Arabidopsis thaliana: one gene and its partner. The protein of the gene in region 1 interacts with the protein of each later gene in a biochemical or structural test. Each region holds a gene or a part of one and is shown on either strand. Other genes may lie near its edges.

Region 1 (7,247 bases):
TTGCTCTTAAAGAACAGCTCGAGAAAGACAAGGTTTTGATCTCTCTTGTTATGATTTCATAAATTATTCAAACCCAATTGCATTTTGGCTATAGCGCTTTTCTACAATTAAAAATTTGTCTAGGATGATGAAAGCTTGAGGAGATGGAAGGAGCAACTTCTAGGCAGCGTGGATCTTGAGGAGGTCGGAGGTAAACCAAAATCCAATATCCGGTTTATATCTATGGTTAAATAACAGATGAATCCGATTAGAATTACTTTTTAGATTTCAATAGATAAGATAATTGTAGGAATATTAAAAAATATATATATATATATATATATATATATATGTACTGTTTTGATAGAGTGACAAAATGTAAATGCAGAGACTCCGGATCCACTGGTAAAGATACTAACCTTAACAATTAGGTCACCGGATAGAGAAGACATGGTATTAACGATCCCTGAAAACGGAAAACCGGCTTCGAAAGGACCATGGTTCACTCTCAAAGAAGGCTCTAAGTACACTCTCATATTTACTTTCCGTGTCACCAACAACATTGTGTCCGGCCTCCAATACAGCAATACAGTTTGGAAGACCGGAATCAAGGGTATTTTTATCTTTTACACTTTCGCTAACCACAAATACACACATTTTAGAAGCCGTTGTCTAATTTATTTTCTTTAACTTTGTGGAGAACAGTGTATAGTAGAAAGGAGATGTTAGGAACGTTTAGTCCACAGGCGGAACCGTACACTCATGTTATGTTTGAAGAGACGGCACCCTCTGGTCTACTCGTTAGAGGCTCTTATTCTGTTAAATCTAAGGTACCAAAAATCTAATAGTTACATTTTTTTAGTTTAGTTACAATATATGTAAGTATGTATGCATCATCTAGCAAAATATGTTGTCTTAGAGTTTTATTAATTTGTAGACTATTTTATGGATTATTTAAATCACTTACTTATTGTCTTGTATCTATTTTTCAGTTCGTCGATGATGATAATCAGTGCTACTTGGAGAACAACTACACCTTCGACATTCGCAAAAATTGGCTGTGATATCCATCACAAAAGTTACTGGAAGAAGAGAAAAAAATATAATATTATTCATTATTGTTTCTTCAATTTAAATTTGTTCATATCGTTATTCGCCTAACTTTTTTTGGATGATTCTTCATCTCACTTGATATAGACAATATGCTTGTTTGTATTTCTGTAAGTTACTATTTTCGGATTTTATTCTATTTTTCAAACTAGCTAGATACAGATTTTGTTACATGTGCATGTATATAGATGAACTACGTACGTCATCGTTATAGATTCCCTTATTCGTTTATTCATAGTCCAAAACTTCTATATAAAACTAAATTTTGAAACTTAACTTGGTTTGGTTTTCCCTTGGAGAGTTCTAAATATAAAGAAAAAGCCTAAAAGAAATTTAGTAGGTTCTTCGGTTGAAACTGGGATATTTTTACTAAAAATAATTCTACGAATGTTTTGACCCTTGTTTCATTCATACCGTTTTCAAAACTAAATTCAGTTTGCCACATATATATATTATTATTTAATTGTTTCATTCTACAAGTTTACCAAAACTCATTTTGTATATTCTATATTTTCATCTGGTTTTTTAAAAAAATGTTTCATTCTGTTACCGGAAATATATATATTTAACATATCATTGAAATAAAAAAAGAGTGAAGAGCGCATTTAAGGAAATTGTACACTTCAAGAACAATGAATGCCTCACTTAAATGCATCTTGGTGTACTGCACTATCAATCTCGTCTTTAACTCTTGTGGAAGTCACTAGATAATAATCTAATCAACAGAAATATTTTTGTATATCATGACAAAACCTCTATATAAATAAAGACAATAACATTCTCAAAGATATAAATTTCCAAACTCTCTCACAAACCAAAACCAAATTCCAACATGAAGAAGACCTACAAGCTTCAAAGCCTCTTCTCTTCTCTCATCTTCCTCATAATCTTGCTATTGATTTCGAGAGCCGCGGCCGTCGGCTCTGGCGGTGTCTGCCGGCATCCACCATCACAAAACAGCTGCAAGACATGCATGGCGGAGCAAATGAAATACGACTGCCCTAAGTGCGTGCCGGTGCTCCGATGCATGGCTCGTTGTCTTTGGGGCGGTGTTACTCAGAGGAAGTGCACCACCACGTGTCGATGCGACACCGCGGCCAAGCCGTCGTTGCTGGAGTGTAAACGCTGCGTTTCTAGGTGTAAGTGTAGCTGTGCGGCTTAGGAACAAATCGAGTAAATGCTCTCTTGATGGTAAAATAATATGTTAAATGTTACCATGTTGGATCTTTGTCTCTTTAACTTGATGTTATATATGTATGTTGAATCTTTTTGTCGTTTAACTTGATGTTGTATACGTTGAATGCTAAAAGTATATAGTTCCTATTTATAGTCATATATCTAAGAGATATATCACATTATTCTTTTTTCCCGGTCAATATACTCACACACACACACATTTGATGAATTTGATTCCGGATTATGACACAAGTATTTTGTTCCGGTCAATATACTCACACACACATAGTAATCGGATAGAATTGACTAACTAGTATTTTTTTTTCAAATTAGCTATGCAATTTTTTAGTGTAGGATCAAATCTATTTATTTTGCAATTTTGAATTATGATTCATGAATAAACACTAAAAGATCAATACGCATTCATAGAATTTTGAATGTCAATAATTATTTGGATAAATAATTTTTAGTAACAAGTTATTTCACTTTAAACCATATTTTGACATTACCATGGACCCAAATTTGAGTTTTAGACTTTGGAGACTAATTTATTGTTTAAGATTCGTATAACATACAAAAAAAAAGATAATTCGTTCGTTATTAACCGTGGAAATTTTCGTTATTTAATGGAACATAAACGGACTAAAAACAATAGCAAACGATGACCTATCGTACACGGTACACCGCGACACACCGGATTAAACCGCCGTCATTCTCTGAGAAATCTCTGGAAACATCTGAAACCCAAATACTGAGCACAGAATCTCTCCATCTCCTCACCGCCTCTCTCTCTACACATCTCTTCCTCCACCGCTTCTTCCCAATACAAAGGCCACGCGCCACCGCCTTGTCCGGAGTCTACTCCGCCGAGATCGTTGTAATTCCACCATTGAATTTCGTCTTTAGTCTCCGAGATTGAATCGAGTATTTCCTGCATCCCTACGATCTTACGGCTCACTTTCCTCCGAGCTTCTCTGATCGTCGGATCTAAACCAGGGACGGAGTCTAGTTTCAGAAGCAGAGCCATCAGAGTCTCGTTCATTCTCAGACGTTCCTTCTCATCGCTTCTAATGGCGTCTACTGTTTCTTGCCGTTGGATTATGCTCTGTACACGGTTCGCTTCCCGATTGATGGATGAGATTTTCTTGTATAGGTTTCGGATCCTATAAGAACGGTAGCCAGACTGAATCCTCGCTGCTGCGGCGGTGGCGTTTGTTTTGACGTTGGCTTTCGTCGCCGGTAATGGAGTTTCAATCGGGATTTCTTTGGTTGCCGGAGGGGTAGTATGGTCATTATAGAAAGTGTGAATAACGGTGGTTGTTGTTGTCGACGATGAGAATTTTCTTGAACGTTTCATTTTTTTGTTTTCTTTTCTTGATATGGATGAGATTGTTTTTTTTTTTGACGGTGGTCGTTAGTATATAACTCGTGAATGTGGTATAAATAAATATAACTCCCTAGTAATTTTGCAAAGACCAATTATTGAAAGTTTTTGTGTATAAACGACCGACCGTTGCTAAAGGACTCATTACCACTCGATGATTATCACTTTTTATATTGAAAGTTACTAATATTCCGTTGTCTTTCTTTATAAAAGATTCAGTAACATATTACACTAATATCGAGAAATGACTTATTGTTAATGGGTTGGGGTTATCTGCTTAATAATATTCATATCCCCAAGTGCTTAATCGTGATTATGGAAATCTTTCTTTTCACCATTTTTCCTGCAATAAAGTGATACTCCCATCAATTCCATTTTTTCTGTAAACAATTCAGGTGACGGGATTTTTTTTATTAATGTTATAAAAGGTACGTTACCGGCGACAGCTGATCAAGGCGGTGAAGGAACAATTTTCCCTGTGCATGTTCCAAACCCAACATTGTAACCATCTCCCTACAACGGTTTAATCATAGACGTAATTTGATTAATAAGCGTTAACCGAAATGTCATGCAACGAAATTCATTTGGAGTTGTTGGGGTATAAAGCAAATTAAACTAAAGCAGAAACCGTGTTAATCAGCTGATACCTTGCATACACCTGAGAAGGTGACTTGGTCTCCGTCTTCGAGAAACGTCTGAGTTGTTCCATTGAGTGATAGAGGTTTCTGTCCATTCCATGTCAACTCAAGTAGGCACCCATATGAATCTGGCTCCTGCGTTTAGAACCAAGAAACAAAGATTTTGCGAGTTATTGTGTAGTCATCACGTGATATAGTAGACGAGAGAACTGGTTCGAAAAGAGTTTACCGGTCCGCTTATGGTTCCTGTGCCAAGGAGATCACCAGGCCTCAAATTGCAACCGTTAACGGTATGGTGTGCTAGCTGCTGCGTTATGGTCCAATATCTGTCACAATAAGTTTAAAAGAGTTTGAACCAAACTGTTTAATTATATGGAGGAATTGGGTAGGAGATTATAGAGGAACTCACAAGTTTTGGAAGTTGCTCTTTGTTATTACACAAGAATCATCTCTGCCAGAAGGTTTAAGTTGAACCTATAAGAGGTAAAAACATGATGTTTATTTCAGTTCAGTCCACCATAAGCTGTTATAGTTGATAGCAAAAAGCCAAAAAGTGAAACTCCAATATCGAATGCTACCTCCAAGGAGATATCGTAATTTACAGACTCTTTCTCAGCCAAATATGGCAATGGAGGTGGATCCTGCCCCAAGAACAAGTTAGATCATGAGAGAATCAGTGATTGCGTGACACAAAAAGAATGTGATGCCTAAGTACCAACCTGCTTGGGAGCTTGACAACCAAAAGGCTCAAGCGCATCCAAGGTAACAATCCAAGGGGATATAGTAGTCCCTACAACACAACAAGACAACATTCACCGAAGTTCTTTGCCCATATACTTCAACTAGAGGAAATGAAATCAAAGTATTGAAGCCAAATATCTCACCAAAACTCTTCCCCAGGAAAGGACCAAGAGGTACATACTCCCACGCCTGAATATCCCTAGCTATAACAACAAACATTTAAAAAAACCGGTCATGCCCGGTCAGGTTAAAGATGACTCAACGAAAACTATAGTTAAGTGAGTACCACTCCAGTCATTCATCAGTAATAGACCAAATATATGATCGGCTGCATTATTCACGTCAATAGGCTTTCCCAATTCATTTCCTGGACCAACCACAGCAGCCTGAATATCATGTGATAAAAGAGAGGTTTGTCAATGCCGTTATTCTTAACTAGCACCAAAAAGCATCAACCGAATCATTGTAAAACAAATCCACATAACTGAGGCATCAGATGCTTACCATCTCAAGCTCAAAATCAAGTTTCTTCGAAGGTCCAAAATATGGTTCAGAGTTTCCTTGTGGATGGCCCTGACCTCTGGAAGAAAGCAAAACAAGCAAAGATAAAACTGGAATTAGCATTTCATTATTAATTTGTCTGCATGAAATTTTACCATCCGCCAATATTGGTTTCAATGTAATAATATCTTATAAAAAACTATATTTCTTGTCAAAGCATAAAACCTTGCATGATGCATGACTTCAAATATGACATGTGAATTATTCTTAACAACCATTCTCAGCCCACCAAAAACCAGATAATAATACACAATTTCCTAACCTTGGTCGAATAATGTCAGTCCCAGAGATGACAATAGATGATGCCCGTCCATGATATGCAATGGGAAGACGAAACCTGAAAAATATGGTAATGTCATGTTAATACAGAGTCATCCTTTCGACTTGACCATTTCATGAAGAAACTCTCAGCTCAAAAGTAACATAAACGCACCAATTTGGGTTTATCGCATTCTCAGGCCCACGGAACATAAGTCCGCAGTTCTTCGCGTGATGCATAGATGCAAAGAAGTCTGTATAGTCCCCAATCACCATAGGAACAATCATTTCCACTTTACTCTGCAAATTTGCATCAAACAGCAATAAACGTAAGTAACAGATATACAAACAATTTCCCTAGTTTAAGCAAAAAACAATTTCACACTACTAACCATCTGATGGAATGATTTTCTCCTCAAAACATCATTGTCTCGCAAGATAGGTTCATTAGCTGCATGAAAACATACCAAAACCAAAACCTTGAAGCCAAATAACAAAACTCCATAAAAATCCAAATAAATCAATAGGATCAAACAGAGCATACATGACAAGATTCTTTGCAGCGTAGAACGCGCTTCCTTCCACGCAGGCCGTCCCATGGCCAAGAACTTATTCAAATTAGGCTGCAAACAGAGCACAGAAACTAAACAATATTAACATCAAAAGAAACACACCAGAAAATAAACACAACCTCATTTTCCTCATCACTAAGTGTAAGCAATACACTATACCGTCAGATCATAAAGCAATAATCATAGTTGCAAAAGTTCAAAATCGTGAACAGAAAACTCAAACTGTAACAGATAATGAATCGAAGCAACGAGCAATTGAGTAGAACAATGGATTTTTTTCGAGCTAAACGGGATTGATCTATCCAATAAACCATGGAGCAAACTTCAGAGATCAGGTTCAAATAGCAAATTCGAAATCATTTACGGAAACATTCCCAGGGTACTACTACATAGTAATCCGAGTTTATAGGAATCGGAAAAACGAACCTGAAGAAAGCAATCTGCGTCCTTAAGGATCAGACCATCGAAAAGCCCAGCTTCAGAGATAGCGGAGAGGTCCAGAACCAAATCGCCGATAGCGACGGCAGGACGAGGAGTTGAGTTCGATTCCGGTTTGAAGACACCATAAGGGAGATTCTGGATAGGGAAGTGCGAGTCTGAGCCAACATCGATGAAAGACTTCAGCAACGCCATTGACGATACAGATACTAAAGACGACGACGACGTATGAATCTCCGGCGAAGTTTCCCAAGCTAATCCCCAAATTCCAGTAAGCGAGAGAGGAGAGTTAGTTCGAAGTGGTAGGTATAGATTTTTCTTAAGCTTCCGTTTTTGAGATGATGACTGAGAAGTTGACGTCATCTTTACAGTTTTCAATTAAATATTCAA
Region 2 (5,797 bases), on another chromosome or scaffold:
AACAGGATCGTACCATCTGCTAGTTGATGATGATTCCGACTATTTTTGGTGTCATTTATGGCAAGGACCTAATTTCAAGCATCACCAAGTTTTTGGTGTTAACCATGGAGACGTATGGGAAGCTAGGGAAGACGGAATCTACTTCTCGCAGATAAAATATGCTCGAGATCTCCGTCAGCATGTGTTCATGTATGGGTGGAATGTTCCTTTGACCTTGTCAAGAGCTTCCTCGTTGGGATTGTGTTGTGTCTCTTTAAGCTTATTACTCTCTTCCTTGGTTTTGTTTTATTTTTATCTAGTTTTAGTTTTGAAATTTATTTTTTTTATTATGAATTTTAAAAATTTAATTTTTATTTGTGTTGGAATTTTTTTATTTTCTTTGTAACCTATATGAACTTGGATATTTTTTTTCTTTCTTACATTAATTAAGTACGTAAGTTTCGACAATCAAGAATAGGGTTTTGTTGATTCCAATCGTGTTACCCAAAAATTAGAATAAGGTTTGTCCAACAATTTATTAAATTTGGTCTTAGAGTTGTATACGAGCCTACGAGGTATCTTTTAGATATGCCGAAGAGATGGTAGTGCGAAGAAGAAAAGAAACCTCATTTTCCATGGTATTAAGGATTTCAAGCTATTCAAACTTTTGTAGTGACCCAAATACGTGTAGAACTGGCCCAAAGACAAATAGCTTAATTAAGATTATCACCTAATCTTAGGTATTGGTGATAGGTGATTCGCTCAAGCCTTATGATCAATATTAGCTCCATATTATGGAGAGTGAGCAGCACATACTCGTAGATAGAAAAGTATTGTTGCTCGAGTAATATTTTTCTGATGATAATTGTGTTTCGACCACTGTTGGCATCTTTCACACATGAATACATGATGTACATGTACGACATGCAATCTTTCTCTTAACGCTCGACTGCTGTCTGCTGTGATGGATCATCACAAGTAAACTTTGTGAAGCATATTTCGTGAGCCAAATGATGTTAGAAAACAATCGTGTGAGCCAAAGGCGTGAGAGCGCTTGTAGAAAGTGGTTTATGTTGTAGTTAAAATAATCCGAATATTCATCTTCCGGAAAAAAGTGAAGTTCAACCTCTCAACGGTACGTTTTTATACCTCAACTAAGTTACATTGTGTATATCAACATCAGCTAACTTTTTATTAATATTTCGGTTCACAATATCATTATCTTTTTCAAAATTTATTAAGATTTCTTTTGCTCATTTTATTTATGTGAATTTTAAAAATAAAATAATTTTTATAATATAGAAACAAAATATTACTAAAAGTAATTTTTAAAAAATAAATAAAATTAATGTCATATCAACGAAAAATTCATAGTTTATTAAAGTAGTAAATATAAAAGTAATAATATTTTAATTATTTTGGTATTAAATTATACACTTTTATTAATATATGTATTTTCTTCTAAAAATTAAAAATTAATTGGGTTTTTGTTTGGAATTTTTCCGACTTACCTTTTCTCCTTCTTTTTGTCGTTTTGCTTAGATATTTGTTTGCATCATTTTCAAAGAGAGACGACTCTGAATCCAAAAAAAAAAAAAACTCATTAAGTAAAGACAAAGGAAGAGAAGAAAGACGATTTCTCGAAGAAGCTATGGCGGATCAACTCACTGACGAACAGATCTCCGAATTCAAGGAAGCTTTTAGCCTCTTCGACAAAGATGGCGATGGTTAGATTACCTCTTCTTTTACGCCTTTGATGGTTACATTACTGGATCTCGGTTTTTTTTCCATTTTCGTCTTCTATCGATGATTTAGAACGGTGTATCTCGTCCTCCCGAGCTTTGAATATGTGTTTATTAGTCGCTAATCTCTTTAGATTCGGAGGTATTGACCTTGTCGTTTGATCTGTTTTTGATCTTTGACCGAGTAGTTTCGCTTTTTGATCTTCGATGGCTTTTTGTATATGATTGAATCGATTTAATAGCTTGCTTGTTGTCCTGTTTCGTTGATTTGCTAGCTTGGATCTGATTTATTTTTTCGTCTCTTACGTTTTGTTTGATTTTTCATCTTCCATGATTGTTTTGGTCGTATGTGTTTTCGAGTTTGCTCTTAGTTGATAAAGAATCTGCTATCTTTTTTTCTTCGAAGTTGTTAATTATCTGAGTTTTTTTTTGTGTTCTCAACAATTCTACCAAAGAATGGGAAAAAACTATGTGCTTAAATGTGATTTCGAATCTTTTAGAAGCTTTGATGGTTCTTCTTGATCTCTCTAGGTAGGTTTCAAGGTCATGTTGCTCAGATTTTCTCTTGATTTCTGAGTTGTTTGTTATACTAGTTGATGTAGTGTTTGTTCTCTCTGATCTAGGATTTGATTTCAAAAGATTATCAAATTGTTTGGAAACTACTCCTGAATTGTCTCATGGTTATATCCTGCTTATAGTAGCTCAATTTGTGTAGATTTGTTTGTTCACTCTTTAAGAGATAAGCAAAAGATGTTCATTCGCTTTTGCATCTATCATTGCTTTTACCCATGACAAAACTGCTTTATCATTGCTTCCATTGAGCATTTGAGTATAATATGTGATGGGTTCTAAAATGTAATGCTCTCTTAATTGTGGTTACACAGGTTGCATCACAACAAAAGAGCTGGGAACAGTTATGCGTTCACTAGGACAAAACCCAACAGAGGCTGAGCTCCAAGACATGATCAACGAGGTTGATGCAGATGGAAACGGCACTATCGACTTCCCCGAGTTCCTGAACCTGATGGCTAAGAAGATGAAAGACACTGACTCCGAGGAAGAGCTAAAAGAAGCCTTCAGGGTTTTCGACAAAGACCAGAACGGTTTCATCTCCGCTGCTGAGCTACGCCATGTGATGACCAATCTTGGTGAGAAGCTAACTGATGAAGAAGTGGAAGAGATGATCCGTGAGGCTGATGTTGATGGAGATGGTCAGATTAACTATGAAGAGTTTGTCAAGATTATGATGGCTAAGTGATTTGATAAAGGTGATGATGATGATGATGATGACCTTTTTATGCTTCTAGGAGTTTAACCAAAAACATTTGCATGATTGGTGGAGATATGCTTTTAAACAGACATAATTTGTTTTTCGTTCTTTTGATTTTCTGGTTTGTGACTTTTGTGTGTAATGGAAAATCAAGTAAGTTGGATTGAAACCGATGGGTTGGGTTTTTACTTTTTACCCACATTTTGTTGCTTTTTTGGTTTTACAAAAAAAGAAGAAGATAAGAAATAGAGATGAAAAATATGGCTTTAAGCTGAAAAAATTAAGTACTAGTTAAAATTATAGTTATATTAAAATGTTCTCTTTCTGATTTACTGTTTTAATCATTTGAGCCACTCGTCTGAACTGTACGTCTCTATACGTGTGTACGTTAGCCACAAAGAAAATGATTCGCGGGCAATCACTTCCAAATTTGTGTCTAATCAAACTTTTAATTTTCATACGACAAACAGAGGTCGCTGAAAATTTAGTTTTAAGTATAAAGTGCTTTTCTTTTGTCAATTAGTTTTAGTATAAAGTGCTTTAGTGTATTATTTATTTGGATACCAAGTTGAAAATTGATGTTGGACTAATAGGAAAATGACACATGTAAAAACACGAGGTTGGTATTATGCCATTGGCCACCATAAATTGTCGTGAAGTAGTAAATTTCAAGACAAGTTTTAAATTAAGATTTTGAACAATACATTCATATTTTTAGTAACTTGTTATTTATACTTAGACTATATAATTAAGTATTCGATCTATTTAAATTTATATTAAGACATTATTTCCCAAAAAGTGTGAGAAATCATATATATGACAGGAGCTCAACTCTCTCCCACAATATTACACATCAGCACATGAAAGGAGAGGTTGCCACCTACACTTCTTAAAATAAGTAATACATAATTAGTAATTAATTCAACATATGAACCTATCATAAGTCAGAACTTCAACCATCACTCTTTCTATATTTTTTAATTTAATATATCTTCTTTTATTTTTTTAGGCATTTGGGTAGAGAATATGATGAGTACATTTTTGGGAATTTTTACGGTATATTACCATAATGTTTTCATAATATTTTTCTCAACATGTATTAGAAAAATTCGAATGTTGTGGTAACAGAATTGGCCGTATTGTTAGAATGTGGGAAGTTCATACCGGAAATACGTTCTGCCAACGACCGTGATGTATTCCTTGAAAACTCACTCTTCCTGCTAGATGAGAAGGTATAATTGTCCAATGACTAACATATCAATTTATTTTTCTAACATAAATCTCATATCACACTCATCATATATCTATCTTCTCATCTTTCTAAACAGAATTCCTTAATTCGTTGCTTCATTCCTTCATCACTTGTTGAAAAATACAATAGTATTTTCCAAGAAGGAATGATCTTACAAAAATAAATACAATAGTATTCTTTCATCATTCCTTCACTATGTTGCACTGGTAATACAATAGCCTTCGTGGCGTCACAGTAATTTATACTTGCATTATCCACACACATTACAACTCATATTTAAACTATAAAAAAATTAAGTTAATGTGGGAACAACTATGCACTATACTATTGTCAAAAAAATTACGCCATTTGATATAAGTTCTTAAAAACAAACAATTATCTTACGTCATAACTAAAAAGTTACCTGTTAGTATTGTAATATCAGAAGTAATTATAAAAAAAGACCAAAAAAAAACTCAAACACATTGTATCCACAATTAAAAGAAAATGTATTGTTTTGTTAGTATGGAGTGTAACACAAATTATATATAAAATATATATTCGATCAGTATGTCATGTTTATTTAGGAACAAAATTTACCTCATTTAGAATTAATAACTGTATTACTTTATTCAAGTTATTAGCGGAAGAATGGACGCTCCAGAGCCTTAGAACACCTTCAATGGGGGTTTCTAAAAATGTTTTTTAATAAATAATAAAAAATATATATGATTTAAATATTACATGAGTCTCTTAAATTTGATGAAATATAGGCCAATTGTCTCTTAGTTAAGAGATAATTTGTCTTACTTTCACCAAATTTAAGAAACCCATAATTAAAAATATTATTTATTTATACTTACACTTTATTTTTTTTAAGAGACTTAGGATTAAAAACTACCATTGAAGATGCTTTTAAAGTATGAATGTTTAGAAACTTACAACCCATCATGTGGTATTAAAAATGAGTAAATAAATCCACAATAAATCAAATACGCACGATTATAACTTAACTAACTCATTTATAATCTAGACGTTTAAAAAACCCTACAAAAATTCCCAATCAGAATAACGTATATACCCATTTCTAAACAATAATATCCATTTAAGAAAAATAAATACTCTTTCAAACTTCTAATCATTCCAACTAGAATATTACATAATGTAAATATTTATCTTTATATATATATGACACATATTCACTACCAAAATAGTTTAATCTTTGTAACCACCGTAAGAGTATCTAGAAAAGTAAGTCTCTCTTCTCAATAACTTTTACTTTATTTTTTTGGAATCATAAACTTCAACTTATTAACGACAACAACTAATGGTAAATAAGAATAAACTAATATCATATCTTTCATTTGTCAGATTCAAAGATCAAAATCACGTACGATCATTATGGCAACAACACAATCAACAACTACAGTAGCACCTCTTCAATCCATCGCTGTAGACAAGCTTACAATCGGATCATCTATGCAACATATAACTGTCCGCCTCTTGAGAATGTGGGAAGCTCGCAATTTCAAAAGAAACGGAGAGCTAATGAGTCTAGATCTTCTTCTCCTAGAT

The links.
Region 2: the proteins of BAG5 (region 1) and CAM1 are reported together in a solved structure, tested with the Arabidopsis thaliana proteins (one study listed by BioGRID).

What each region holds. Positions count from the first base shown.
Region 1 is NC_003070.9:4,072,709-4,079,955, reverse strand, and holds BAG5 (BCL-2-associated athanogene 5), read right to left. Parts: upstream 3,731-7,247; 5' UTR 3,623-3,730; coding exon 2,975-3,622; 3' UTR 2,726-2,974; downstream 1-2,725. Other genes in the region: AT1G12070 (Immunoglobulin E-set superfamily protein), read left to right, coding at 1-32, 124-190, 368-592, 685-809, 972-1,043; AT1G12064 (uncharacterized protein), read left to right, coding at 1,922-2,251; AT1G12050 (fumarylacetoacetase), read right to left, coding at 4,100-4,162, 4,297-4,422, 4,517-4,613, 4,697-4,761, 4,866-4,928, 5,007-5,077, 5,172-5,231, 5,315-5,414 and 6 more. UniProt on the Arabidopsis thaliana protein: Co-chaperone that regulates diverse cellular pathways, such as programmed cell death and stress responses.
Region 2 is NC_003076.8:15,001,951-15,007,747, reverse strand, and holds CAM1 (calmodulin 1), read left to right. Parts: upstream 1-1,542; 5' UTR 1,543-1,630; coding exon 1,631-1,706; exon of another isoform or gene 1,707-1,818; coding exon of another isoform or gene 1,819-1,863; intron 1,864-2,323; coding exon 2,324-2,401; intron 2,402-2,605; coding exon 2,606-2,979; 3' UTR 2,980-3,221; downstream 3,222-5,797. UniProt on the Arabidopsis thaliana protein: Calmodulin mediates the control of a large number of enzymes, ion channels and other proteins by Ca(2+). Among the enzymes to be stimulated by the calmodulin-Ca(2+) complex are a number of protein kinases and phosphatases.